Schizosaccharomyces pombe: one gene and its partner. The protein of the gene in region 2 binds, or shares a complex with, the protein of the main gene of each other region. Each region holds a gene or a part of one and is shown on either strand. Other genes may lie near its edges.

What was found. Proteins that work in one complex are often made in the same cells at the same time.
Region 1: btf3 (region 2) and egd2 share a complex: the UniProt entries of both Schizosaccharomyces pombe proteins name them as parts of the nascent polypeptide-associated complex.

The regions. Positions count from the first base shown.
Region 1 is NC_003423.3:3,273,976-3,277,356, reverse strand, and holds egd2 (nascent polypeptide-associated complex alpha subunit Egd2), read left to right. Parts: upstream 1-1,834; 5' UTR 1,835-1,878; coding exon 1,879-2,400; 3' UTR 2,401-2,429; downstream 2,430-3,381. Other genes in the region: vac14 (phosphatidylinositol synthesis protein), read left to right, coding at 1-50, 99-178, 225-670; TIM22 inner membrane protein import complex subunit Tim22, read right to left, coding at 971-1,498. UniProt on the Schizosaccharomyces pombe protein: Component of the nascent polypeptide-associated complex (NAC), a dynamic component of the ribosomal exit tunnel, protecting the emerging polypeptides from interaction with other cytoplasmic proteins to ensure appropriate nascent protein targeting.
Region 2 is NC_003424.3:4,857,890-4,865,481, forward strand, and holds btf3 (nascent polypeptide-associated complex beta subunit), read right to left. Parts: upstream 3,376-7,592; 5' UTR 3,344-3,375; coding exon 3,298-3,343; exon of another isoform or gene 3,140-3,297; coding exon 2,730-3,139; 3' UTR 2,647-2,729; downstream 1-2,646. Other genes in the region: mpd2 (GYF domain protein), read right to left, coding at 1-1,924, 2,042-2,079; wsp1 (actin assembly factor), read right to left, coding at 3,641-3,675, 3,735-3,867, 3,918-5,258, 5,344-5,559; SPOM_SPAC4F10.16C (P-type ATPase), read right to left, coding at 6,072-6,648, 6,695-7,592. UniProt on the Schizosaccharomyces pombe protein: Component of the nascent polypeptide-associated complex (NAC), a dynamic component of the ribosomal exit tunnel, protecting the emerging polypeptides from interaction with other cytoplasmic proteins to ensure appropriate nascent protein targeting.

The sequences.
Region 1 (3,381 bases), on a different chromosome or scaffold from region 2:
TGCCTTTTATCGCAAAATTATGAGCACGCTGCAAATTTGCTCTCAGTTTTGTATGTGATCTAAAAAAACTTTAATTTTTTATTAACCTATGTGATTAGTGCTGAAATTGAGTTTAATATCGATATGTTGATACAGTTGGACAAGTTAGTTCAATTAATAGAATCCCCGGTCTTCACATGTGGGTGCAATTGAATAATTGTTTTACATATTACTAATGACATTAGATATGCGCTTACAATTATTAGAGCCTGAAAAATACCCGTACCTTCACAAAGCCCTGTATGGGATATTGATGTTGTTACCTCAGTCTTCAGCGTTTCGGACCTTAAGAGATCGACTTCAGTGCTCTTCAACTCCAAGGACAAATACTATTTTAGCTAATGAAAGGTTACCTCGATCAAGGCGGGATGATCCATACTGGACGGACCTTCTTGAAAGGCTGAAAGCGGTACAGCTATCGCATCAAAACAATTACAGAGAACCCATCCGTGCTACTAGATTAGCTCTTGCAGGAGCATTACCATCAACCCCAACTGCCACTACAATATCTACTACAACCTCGGCGTCCGGAATTACAACTACAGCATCGAACTCTCGTGATTCCTTTATAACAAGGCTTCCACCAACTGCAGCTTTATCAACCGGTGCGAGAAAGAAGCCAAAACAGTGATGTATTTAATTAATAAGTGATATAATGATCATATGGTATAGAAAGAGGAATGTTAATAATTAAGTATTTTTGATGCAATGGAAAGGTGTCGGTAAATGAACGAGCGTAAACAAGGACAGTAAGAATATCATGCTAAAGTAAACAGTGCAGATTAGTCAGAAGAAAAAGGAATTATACTAATGGATGATAGGTTATGGAAGTCAACCCGGTTAACGCAGACAGAACGTAAGCATCTATTAAAAGAGCAACACATGAAGGTAAAAAAAAATGTCCAGTCAATTGAATAATGAAAGGTATAATTTATTCTCCCCAGTGCATATACTTTTCAATTCCATAAGAAAATAAACCAAAACCAGCGCCTCCTAGAACAATTGCCTTAGGTCCTGAACGCACAGCCAAAGCTCCACCTGTAAAAACACCGGCGGCGATGGCGTTATAAATATCAGTTTTAGCACGAAATGCCTCTATACAGCATTCTGAACCGGAATAGATTAAACCCAATAAACCAAAATTTTTGGCAGTAGAGAATGAGCGGCTACCCATATCCCTTGCTTGAATACGAATTTGTTCACGAAATGGCTTCTCATAGATCTTGGGATCAATGTGTTGCAAATCCAGAGAGGAAATGAACATACCAAATATACCACCCAAGCCAAAACCTAGTACACCGGCCATGCTACTTTTAAAGACGCAGCTTTCTGATATCCTGTTCATGTAGCCGATTATTTTTGCTTGTTGTAAAGCAGCTTTTTCTTCTGGTGTCAAATTTCCATCTGCATTGGGCGAATTTCCACCCAGATTCGGCGGCAATAATCCAGAAAGCGACATAGTTTGTTTGTTCTGCAAAGGCGCTGTGTAAAAAACCGAAAGGGTACTAAAATATAAATTTCTTTTTAAACTGTCGTTTCAAAATAACAAAAAATTATTCTACAATAATGTAACGAAAATATGCGATAACCGTGGTAATTCGAAGGAGATTAAGAGACGCGCCGAAACTATTAATTATACACTATCACTAACTCTCTTACATATAAGTAATAACTGAAGCTATGTTTTCTAATCAAACAATAAGGGTTAGTTTGCTATGCCCTACTACCGCTCCCAAAAGACAGTCACGGTAATATCAGAGTTCGACAAACATGAAAAACGAATGCGTCAACGATTGAATCACTTCCAACTACAACAATAGTCTTTTATTTTGATCCAAAATGTCTGTTGAATCACAACCTGTAGAGAAAATTTCTGAGCTTCCTGCTGGATCCACCACCGTTGTCCATGCTGAGAAGGCTCAAAAATTGATTCAAAAGTTGGGTCTTAAACGTGTTGAGGGAATCACTCGTGTCGCTATGCGTCGTCCTAAGAACATTTTGTTGATTATCAACGAGCCTATTGTTTATAAGAGTAGCAATAATGCTTACATCGTCCTTGGAAAGGTTACTGTTGAAGATATGGCTGCCCAAGCTCGTGCCTTCAACGAGTCTCAAAAGCAAGCTACTGAGACTAAGGAAGAAGCTGCTATTACCGAAGAATCCGGCGATGCTCAACCCGCCGATACTGCTAAAATAGAGGAGTCTTTTGAGCAAGAAAAAGCCGTTGATGAAACTGGTGTTGATGCTAAGGATATTGAGTTGGTTATGGCCCAAGCTAATGTTTCTCGCGCCAAGGCCGTTACTGCTTTGAAGGAAAACAACAGTGATGTTGTTAACGCCATCATGTCTCTTACCATGTAAAAGTATTAAATACAACTTTTTGCTTTTTACCCTCATGTTGTTTTTTTCGTTGTAAAAGTAATTGTATGTTTACATTTTTCCATTTCGCATAATCTTTTTGTAATAATGTGTGACTCATTAACACAGCTTTAGTCAGTCATGAATACGGCTAAAGCATGGCTCAAATAATCAAAGTCAATAATTTTTTTGTTTACTCATGATATGCGGATATTTCACACAATGGTCAACCTTTGTTTGACTGCATAATTTCAGAACTAGTCAACTTTGTCTTACTCAATGTAACTTGTCAATGGCAGCAAGTTCGTTTGCTAGCTTATTCAATTTTCGATATCAAACTGTCCGTGAATCAATCGTGACAGAAGTATTTGTTTCAGATGAACAAGGAGCACAGAGATGAATCATCTGACGATGATTAAATCTTTATTTTCAAAATATGGATTCTAGCTTCTTGATTATCATCTGCAATGTTTGCAGCTCATTAATTATGTAAAAAAAAATGTTGATGAAATTAGTTTTTGGTTTCATATAAACGGTTTTTACTATTAGGCAACAGAAGTAGTTTATTTCTAATTCTGATTTCGTTCAATCAGTTGAATGTATTCACAGGCATGCGAATAAGTGATCCATTAATGACTATTTTAAAGTTCGCAGCACTTTTAGTGATCCTCAACAATATTAAAATTCGAGCTTTACACGATTTAGTTTTTAAACACAAAAAAATTTGTAAGATACCAATGCGGAAATAATAAAGGATAAAATTTTTTGATTTTAATGATGCTTATTATTTTGCATGTAATTTTAACACAAGATTTAACTTGTATGTTTCCAATTAGTTCTAAATAGCTGTAGTATATCGCGGATGGAAACACTTGAAATATTTGGATAAACCAAGTACCCACGCATAAAATAGGACCAAGATTGTATGTATGATCAAACAAAAGTGAAAGTAATCCAAACGAGTAGATCCGAATAACTAATAAA
Region 2 (7,592 bases):
AAGCGCTTCAGAACTAGCAATACTCATTTCCCTACTTATAGTCTCATCGAGAGAAGGTAAATGCTTAGGAGGAAGAGATTTCCAAGGAGAAGGCTTTGGAGCCGTAGTTTGTGATCCGCTAGTAACGGGGATTTCTTTCGAAGCTGCAGGAGACTGTTTTTGCACACCCGTAGAAAGTCTTTTCGATTCAACAGTTTCCTTAAGCTTCGACGGCTTTTCTTGCTTAGTTTCCTCAGAGAGACTGATAGAACCGAGATCTTTTGACAATTGATTTAACGATTCATTATGATGAATGGGAGTGTTTTCTTTTTCATACATATCAGAGTTGTCAGAAGTACCAAGGGCCGATTCCTCCTTTTGGTTAGCACTGTCTTCATTAACATTGAGCTCAGAACTTCGGCACTCGGATTGCTGATTATAGGAAATCTCAGATAACGAGTTTGCTTTTGATTCATCATTTCTAACATTTGAAACTTCCGCAGTACTGGGATATAATTCAAGGTGTTTGTTTCCACCTCTATTTTGTTCAGAGCTCTCCGGAAGATAATTGCTCAAAGGAAGATCGGTTCCTTGAGCATTCCAAGAGGCGTTTTGAACAGTTACAGGTGATAGAGGAACCAAGAAGGGTTCCAACTGGTTGCCCACCTGACGAATAAAAAAGGCAAGAGAGTAATACTCTTCTTCTTCTAGCCTCTTTATTGGCAAGCCAAGAGGAAAATAACCAGCTCTATACCATTGATGCATATCTACTCCAGTAAAGGGGCCTTGGACATTATTTTGAGGGTCTTTATAAAGCCAATGCAGAAGAGCGGGAGGAATTAACGAAGCCAAGTGCTGAGGAAACGCCTCCGAAGAAAACATAGCTGTAGAGGGAGACATAGCAGCCGCAGGACTATTGACAGCAGAATGCTCACGTTGAGATGCGCTTGGTGCAACAGGTTGGGACGCGTTCTCTTTAATAGATGCTTTAGCTTTGGCCTTATCAACAAGAATATTTAGTGGAGAATCAGTGTCTCTAATACTCATTGAATTTCCCACTGGAACGTTGGAATTAGTGGGAAATCGAGATGGACCTCTGCGTAGTGGGGACTGAGAGAAATCTGCGAGATTATCAACCTGTCCAACAGGAGAAGCCACGGATTGTGTTAAACCTGCAGATATTCCATTTGATGATCCAGAAGGATGGTAAGCAGAGCTTGATAGAATTTCAAGAGAATGAGTATTAGCTGAAGCAACATTCGGTTCCCCACCTGGTTGATTGCTTGAAGAAGTGTTCAAGTCAGGAAAAGTATCAGAACCAGCACGCTGCGGCTGTTGCAAAGTCCCAACACCGGGATTCATATTACCAGAAACCGCTGAGCGACTTTGAGAAAATGAAGAAGGGCTGCGATCTAATACAGGACGATTGATATGATTAAAAGGGCTCCCCAGTTTGGGAGAAGCTGTGCCCGTTGTTATAGAATTCGAGGATGGAAAACAATCCCTTAAAAATCCAGGAGATATGCCCTCATTAGAAAAAGCGTTTGTAAAAGAGGTGTTGGCATTTTTAGAATTAAACAAATTGGTAGACATATCAAAGGTGCTACTTGGATTATTTGCAACAACTGGATTTTTATAAAAAGGAGAACCACCATTTGAAACAATGGCTGGGTTTGCTGATGAGGTTGTTGACGATACTGTAGGATTTTTGCTAGTCAATTCAGAAGGTGCATTTAAAGAGTCCCACATATTGCCACTTTTTAAAGACAGTTTTCTTTGTGAATCCAATTTTGCAGAAACAGAAGGGTCAATATGAGACGATGTAGGAGAATCCACTCCATTTGTGGCAGTAGGTTTAGTAAAAGATGTTAACTGAGGAAAAGCACCAGTTGTTGAAGAACTCGAGTTATTTGCTTTTTTATGTAACGAATGTGCCAGCTGGCTCCTACAAAACATAAGTTGTTAGTACAAGGCAATTTGAAACTCAAAGTATTTCAAGCGTATCAGAAACGCAATTTTTTGAAAATCGTAAAATGTGGTAAATCCCAGGAAAAAAACTTACCAATCCATATTACTAAATACACTTGCTTCTGAATTCATAATTTTAGCACTTTCTCTCTTAAAGTAAAAAATCCTTGTTATCTTTTAACAACCAGCAAATCTGTTTGTTGTAAAGGTTTTAGGTGGAAAAACGTAACAATAACGCCGTTGCAATAAATAACGACAAATACAGCTGAGCGGGGGTAGCGGCGACAATCGTGTGGGGGAGATGCACTTACTGTGGAACGTGGGTGTTCTGCAATAATTGCCTACCACGCCGCATCGAAAATTTAGTTTATTGAAATTAGCGATTCCTATTAACAATACGAAGTAAATGCTTAACGTAGGCTAATTTCCGCAATTCTTGAATAAGTCCAAACCATCTTTAAAAAGATTATTGCCAAGCTTACTTATAAGGAAAATGACAGCAAAGATTTTTTAACCAAATTAATCAAAGAAAACTATATATTGAAAATGGTTGAATTGTATAACCTTAACAAGTACAAGAGAGACCTCTTGTACCTTGCCAACGTGCATTTACAAAGCGTCAGTATATCCCTCGCTTACTGCACTTAAATTTGCTAAAATCTTTATCTTACGAATTACATAATTACGATTTTTCAAATTACTGATAATACCATAGTCACTTTACATATATTAGCACCCAAATCTTGAGTCAAAAATCCGACATGAAATATTTTGTTGCTTATTTAATCTTGTTCGTCAAACTTTTCGACAAGGTCAGGAATTTCTCCATCGTCGGCTTGTGCATCAGCTCCCTTTTCACCTTCACTGACCTTTAATTGCTCAGCCATTTGACGAAGGGCAGTCAAGGATTCAGGACCAAGGTTGTTCAAAATGCCAGGCAAAATCTCAGACAAAGTCTTTTCCTCTGCTTTACCATAGATAGCTGTAGTTTCATTAGGAAGCGAGGAATGAACGGTAGGTGCACGGAAATTAATGACTCCGCCATCTTCCTTGAACATGTTAACCTCTTGGATGCCAGCAAGGTTTTGCATATTCAACTTTTTCAAGGCACCTTGAACCTTCTTGTCATCAGCAGCACTCATGGCAGACTTAGAAGGCTTCTTCACCTTACGACGAGGGGTACCCTTTCCACCTATACAATGATAAGTTAATTAAGCAGTTCTCTATGAAAAAAGTACAACTGTGTTTTCAATAGCCAGCATCAATTACAGTGGAACCACTTTGAAACCGTTCAAGGCATTTCTTAGAGCTGGTGTCAACTTCAAAACACGGGGATGCATTCGAACATACCAATACGAGCGCCAGCCTGCAACTTAGCCAATTTGGAGGGATCCATTTGTTTCTATTTGACCAAACGTTTTTGGTTGTGGAAGGACTTGAACTTGACGTTTCTAAAGTTGTGGTACCGAAATGTGTGACTGCTCCCATACTTACAATAAAGTAAAGATACACACTGTGTTGCGATATATGAATAGTAATATCAACACAAATTCGCGTTATTCAATTTAGAATAAATGGTGTTTGCTCTAATACAATAAACACAAATCCAAATAAAAATAGTGAAGTCGTTTAACAAAACTTTAAAAGACTGTGTGAATCAAAAAAGTATAGGTAATTTCAAAGATATTAATAACTAGTCCCACTCATCGTCGTCTTCATCCTCTTCGTCTGAAAGAATTAGTAAACTTAAGAACTTTTGAAAAAAAATACGAGAAATCCGGACATACCACTCTGAGCGACTTTGGTTTTACGTTGGTTCAAAGCGCTTGCCAATGCATCCATAAGATTGTTAGAAGGGGGTGCTTCTACCGGAGGATTCGAAGTTTTTGTAGATGCGACACTAGGAGAAGCAGATACTTTCTGGAAAATATTAGTACGAGTAACCATTAAGTAATAATATCAATACTTACCCTGCTTTTCAGTAAATCCATACCACCGCTGGCTCTGATACTGGCCATTAAATTAGCACGGCCGTCTTGTTGAGGCAATTCAGCTATCGAAGCAACAGGCGCGGCGGGCGCAGGAGCTGGAGCTGGAGGAGGAGCTGGTGCAGCGGGAGGCAATGGTGGAGCAGCTGGCATACCAGCGGGTAGAGGAGGAGCAATTGGTGCACTAGGTGGTAGGGGGGGAGCAGCTGGTGCGCCCATAGGTAGAGAAGGTGGTGCACTGGGGGGCAAAGATGGAGGTGCACTAGGAGGAAGAGAAGGAGGTGTAGGGACAGGAGGTGTGCTTGTTCGTGATGCATTACCAAGAGGGGGAAGTGCAGGCGCAGAACGACCAGGAATAGCTGGAGGAGGGGCTGGTGGGTTTGAAACTGCACGAGATGAAGATAAAGGGGGTGGTTGTCTCCCAGTGGAAGGAGCAGACCTTGGAGGAGGTGGAGGAGGAGCAGATCTACCTTGAGGCGGCAAAGGAATTGAGCCAGCAGCATTAGATCTAGGAGGTGGTGGAGGTGGAGGAAGAGACGAGTTAGAAGAACCATTACCAATCGGTGGTTTACCACGATTACGACGGGATGGAGGCGGAGGCGGAGGAGGTCGTTTTTTGTTAGCAGCTAGAGCTGCCGCACTGACTCTTGAAGATGGTGGAGGGAGTGGAGGTTTCGAGGTGGAATTAATAGCAGGATTCATCGAAACAGGAGCGATAGGACGGGGAGGGGAGTTAGGAGGAGAAGAGACAGTTCCATTAGATGGAGGTGGAATTGGGGGAGGAGCAGGTGCAGACAAAGAAGGAACACGCTCTGGGGGACGAGAGGAAGGAATGCTTGGAGGGATGGGAGGTGCAGAAGTACTGGTAGGTGTACCAGCTGATTCATTAAGGTACGCTTTGACGAAATCTGCGTTTTCAGCAATTTGATCCTGGGAAATGCCCATCTTCATTAGAGAATCAATTAAGCTCGGATCAAGCGAATTTAAAAGCTCGGGCTCATTGGGACTTTTAGATCCAACAGCATTATAATTTTCCTTTCCAGGTACAGGAGGAGCAGCTGAGGGAGGTTGGATATTGCTGTTGTTAGGCGCATGTCTAGAAGAACCTTTTCTGGTAATAAATGACAAAACCGGATTCTCAATTGATTCAGGATGGCAACCTTTATCTAAAACCTTTTTGTAAAATTTTTGAGCGTCTGTCTCGTTTGCAAAACTAAAACCTGCTAGGCATTTATCAAGCTCGAAAGAATGAAAAAATGTACGATCTTGGCGATAGTCCATATTTTGATAAAGCTCTTGGTCCCATATTATACCACTATTATTCTAAAACGTTAGAAGGTTATAATTCAATTAAATTGTATACCACTCTTTGTAGTTTGCTTTGAGTATCAAAGCTTCATACACATACCACAACGTCAACCAGTTTAAACCAACAGCATTTTGCTGTTGTATCATAGGACAATACAAGAGCACCACAAAGACCTGTATAATTCCATTTGTTCGGATCAGGATAAGCTACATATAGCTTGACGACGGCTGCTGCAATGATTTTATTTGTGCTTTTAGGTATGTATTTACGGATAGTTGCCTTATCCTCTTGAGTTATAGAGGAAGATGGAGGCATTTGAATTTTCGGATTGTAATGCAATTCAAAAATTGCTGTCTCACAGTGGTATAAGTGGTGTTTTGGTTCCTCCCGTTTGTTAGCATTTTCACTGTAGTTAACAAGCCAATGAGTGATAATTAGTGTAGTATACTATACTACGCTATGTACTATAAAAATTTGCAACGCACTTATTAGCAGCTGGTAAATTTTGCTAATTATATTAACTGTTTATAGATTAATAAAACTTGAGACATTAATTCGGGTTTAATATTTTTTACATTCTACATACTTATCGTCCTCATTGTAAAGAGGTAAATAAAATTTATTCAACCATACGAAGTTTGCTTGTCTCATAATGTTAGTTTATTATAAGATTATTAAAAAAATGACTTAATCATAATCATTAATTATTAGAAAAAAAAGGGAACATTAAGAAAAAGTCATTCGTGATGTTGAGGATAATAAAAAGACTCTCGTCCGGTAGGAGTAGTATAACTACATAAACAAACAGTGCGAACTCAGATGTATGGCTACTTATTAGAATCATCGAATGAAACTGAAGTAACAATACCGGAATTTTTTTTCGAACTTAATGGGTCGTTACATTGTTCGCACATTTCTATATCTGTTGCAAATGATGAACTACTGCTAGTCTCATCATCTGACTTTGCACAAAGTCGTCTCCGTAAAAGGTCAATATCTCTAGGATAAAACAATTTTTGTAAGCAAATATAGGAAAAGCGAGGCAACAAACATAAGGCAATGGTTAAAACAGTAACACACCAAAAGCCAAAAGTTTGACAAGTTCGCGAAGCTGATTTGTGGAAAGCGTAAGAGGGGCCAACTTCTGAATAAATAAATGTCCATATCCAAAATACACCTATGCTGAACATCCAAGTAATAAGTGATATTAAATTCAATCTCTCTTGATTCATCAATATAAAAATGTTGATTACAAAAATAGTAGGAGAGGATATAAAAAGTCCTATGTCTTCTATACACTCGATGTTCCTTCCAGTCCAACTTACAAAATCACCAAACTTAAAAACAAATAGAGCTACCCCAAAGCATACCAATGATTGATATATTCCATCTAGCATGTAAGACCTAAAATAAATATTTAGCAAACAGAAATCTTCAGAGTTATACTTACCAAAATCTCTTTCCGTTCCATTCTAGACCTAAAATTCCCCGTTGGTATAAGCTTGGATTTTTCATTGAAACAGATGCGTCAACGTCCTGGTCAAAACAACCTGCAATAATTACGGGTAGTGATGTGAACAGCAGATTAAAAAGCATCACGTAGGTATAATCAAATATGTAGTTTCCATCAAACTCGTTATAAAATTGATACCAAAAAAGTATAAATGTCCAAATAACATTTTTGTAAAAAAAGAATGAAATCATTTGAGACATTCTTTTATAGTCCCATCGTCCATGAACTAGAAGTAGTCGCCCTAGGAAAGAAAATTGACCGATGGCATAATCCGCCGACATTGAAGCTGCTTGCCCTTCAACGCCTTTTATCCCTACTCCAACGTCGGCTTCTTGAATCATCGAAACATCATTAGCGCCATCTCCAATTGCTAAAGTGACAACATTTAGACTCTTCTTGACTAAAGCAACAACAGCTGCCTTCTGAGAGGGACTAACCCTGCAGCACAAAACTGTCTTACACTGCTTACATAACATTAAAAAAAGAAAAGAGACCTGTTCAGACAAAACAAAGTTCAGGGCATCCCCATCAATAACTATGGCGTGTTTCGGAGATGGCGGACTGTGGTCTTTCAACAAAAATCTGAATTCTTCATCCGTTCCCATGTATCCAAAATTAAAGCATAATGTGTTTCTAATAAAAGCTTCTACTTCTTCTAAGGCACCGAAAGAGTTTGCATCAATTCGAAAAATAGTCATGTTTGGATCAAGAAGATTGCATGAATACCCAATGTTGATTGCCGTTTCTACCTTATCACCAGTCAACACCCACAACTTAATTCCAGCAATAGCCAAAAGAGCGATAGTTTCTGGTACATTCTCTTGAAGTTTATCTT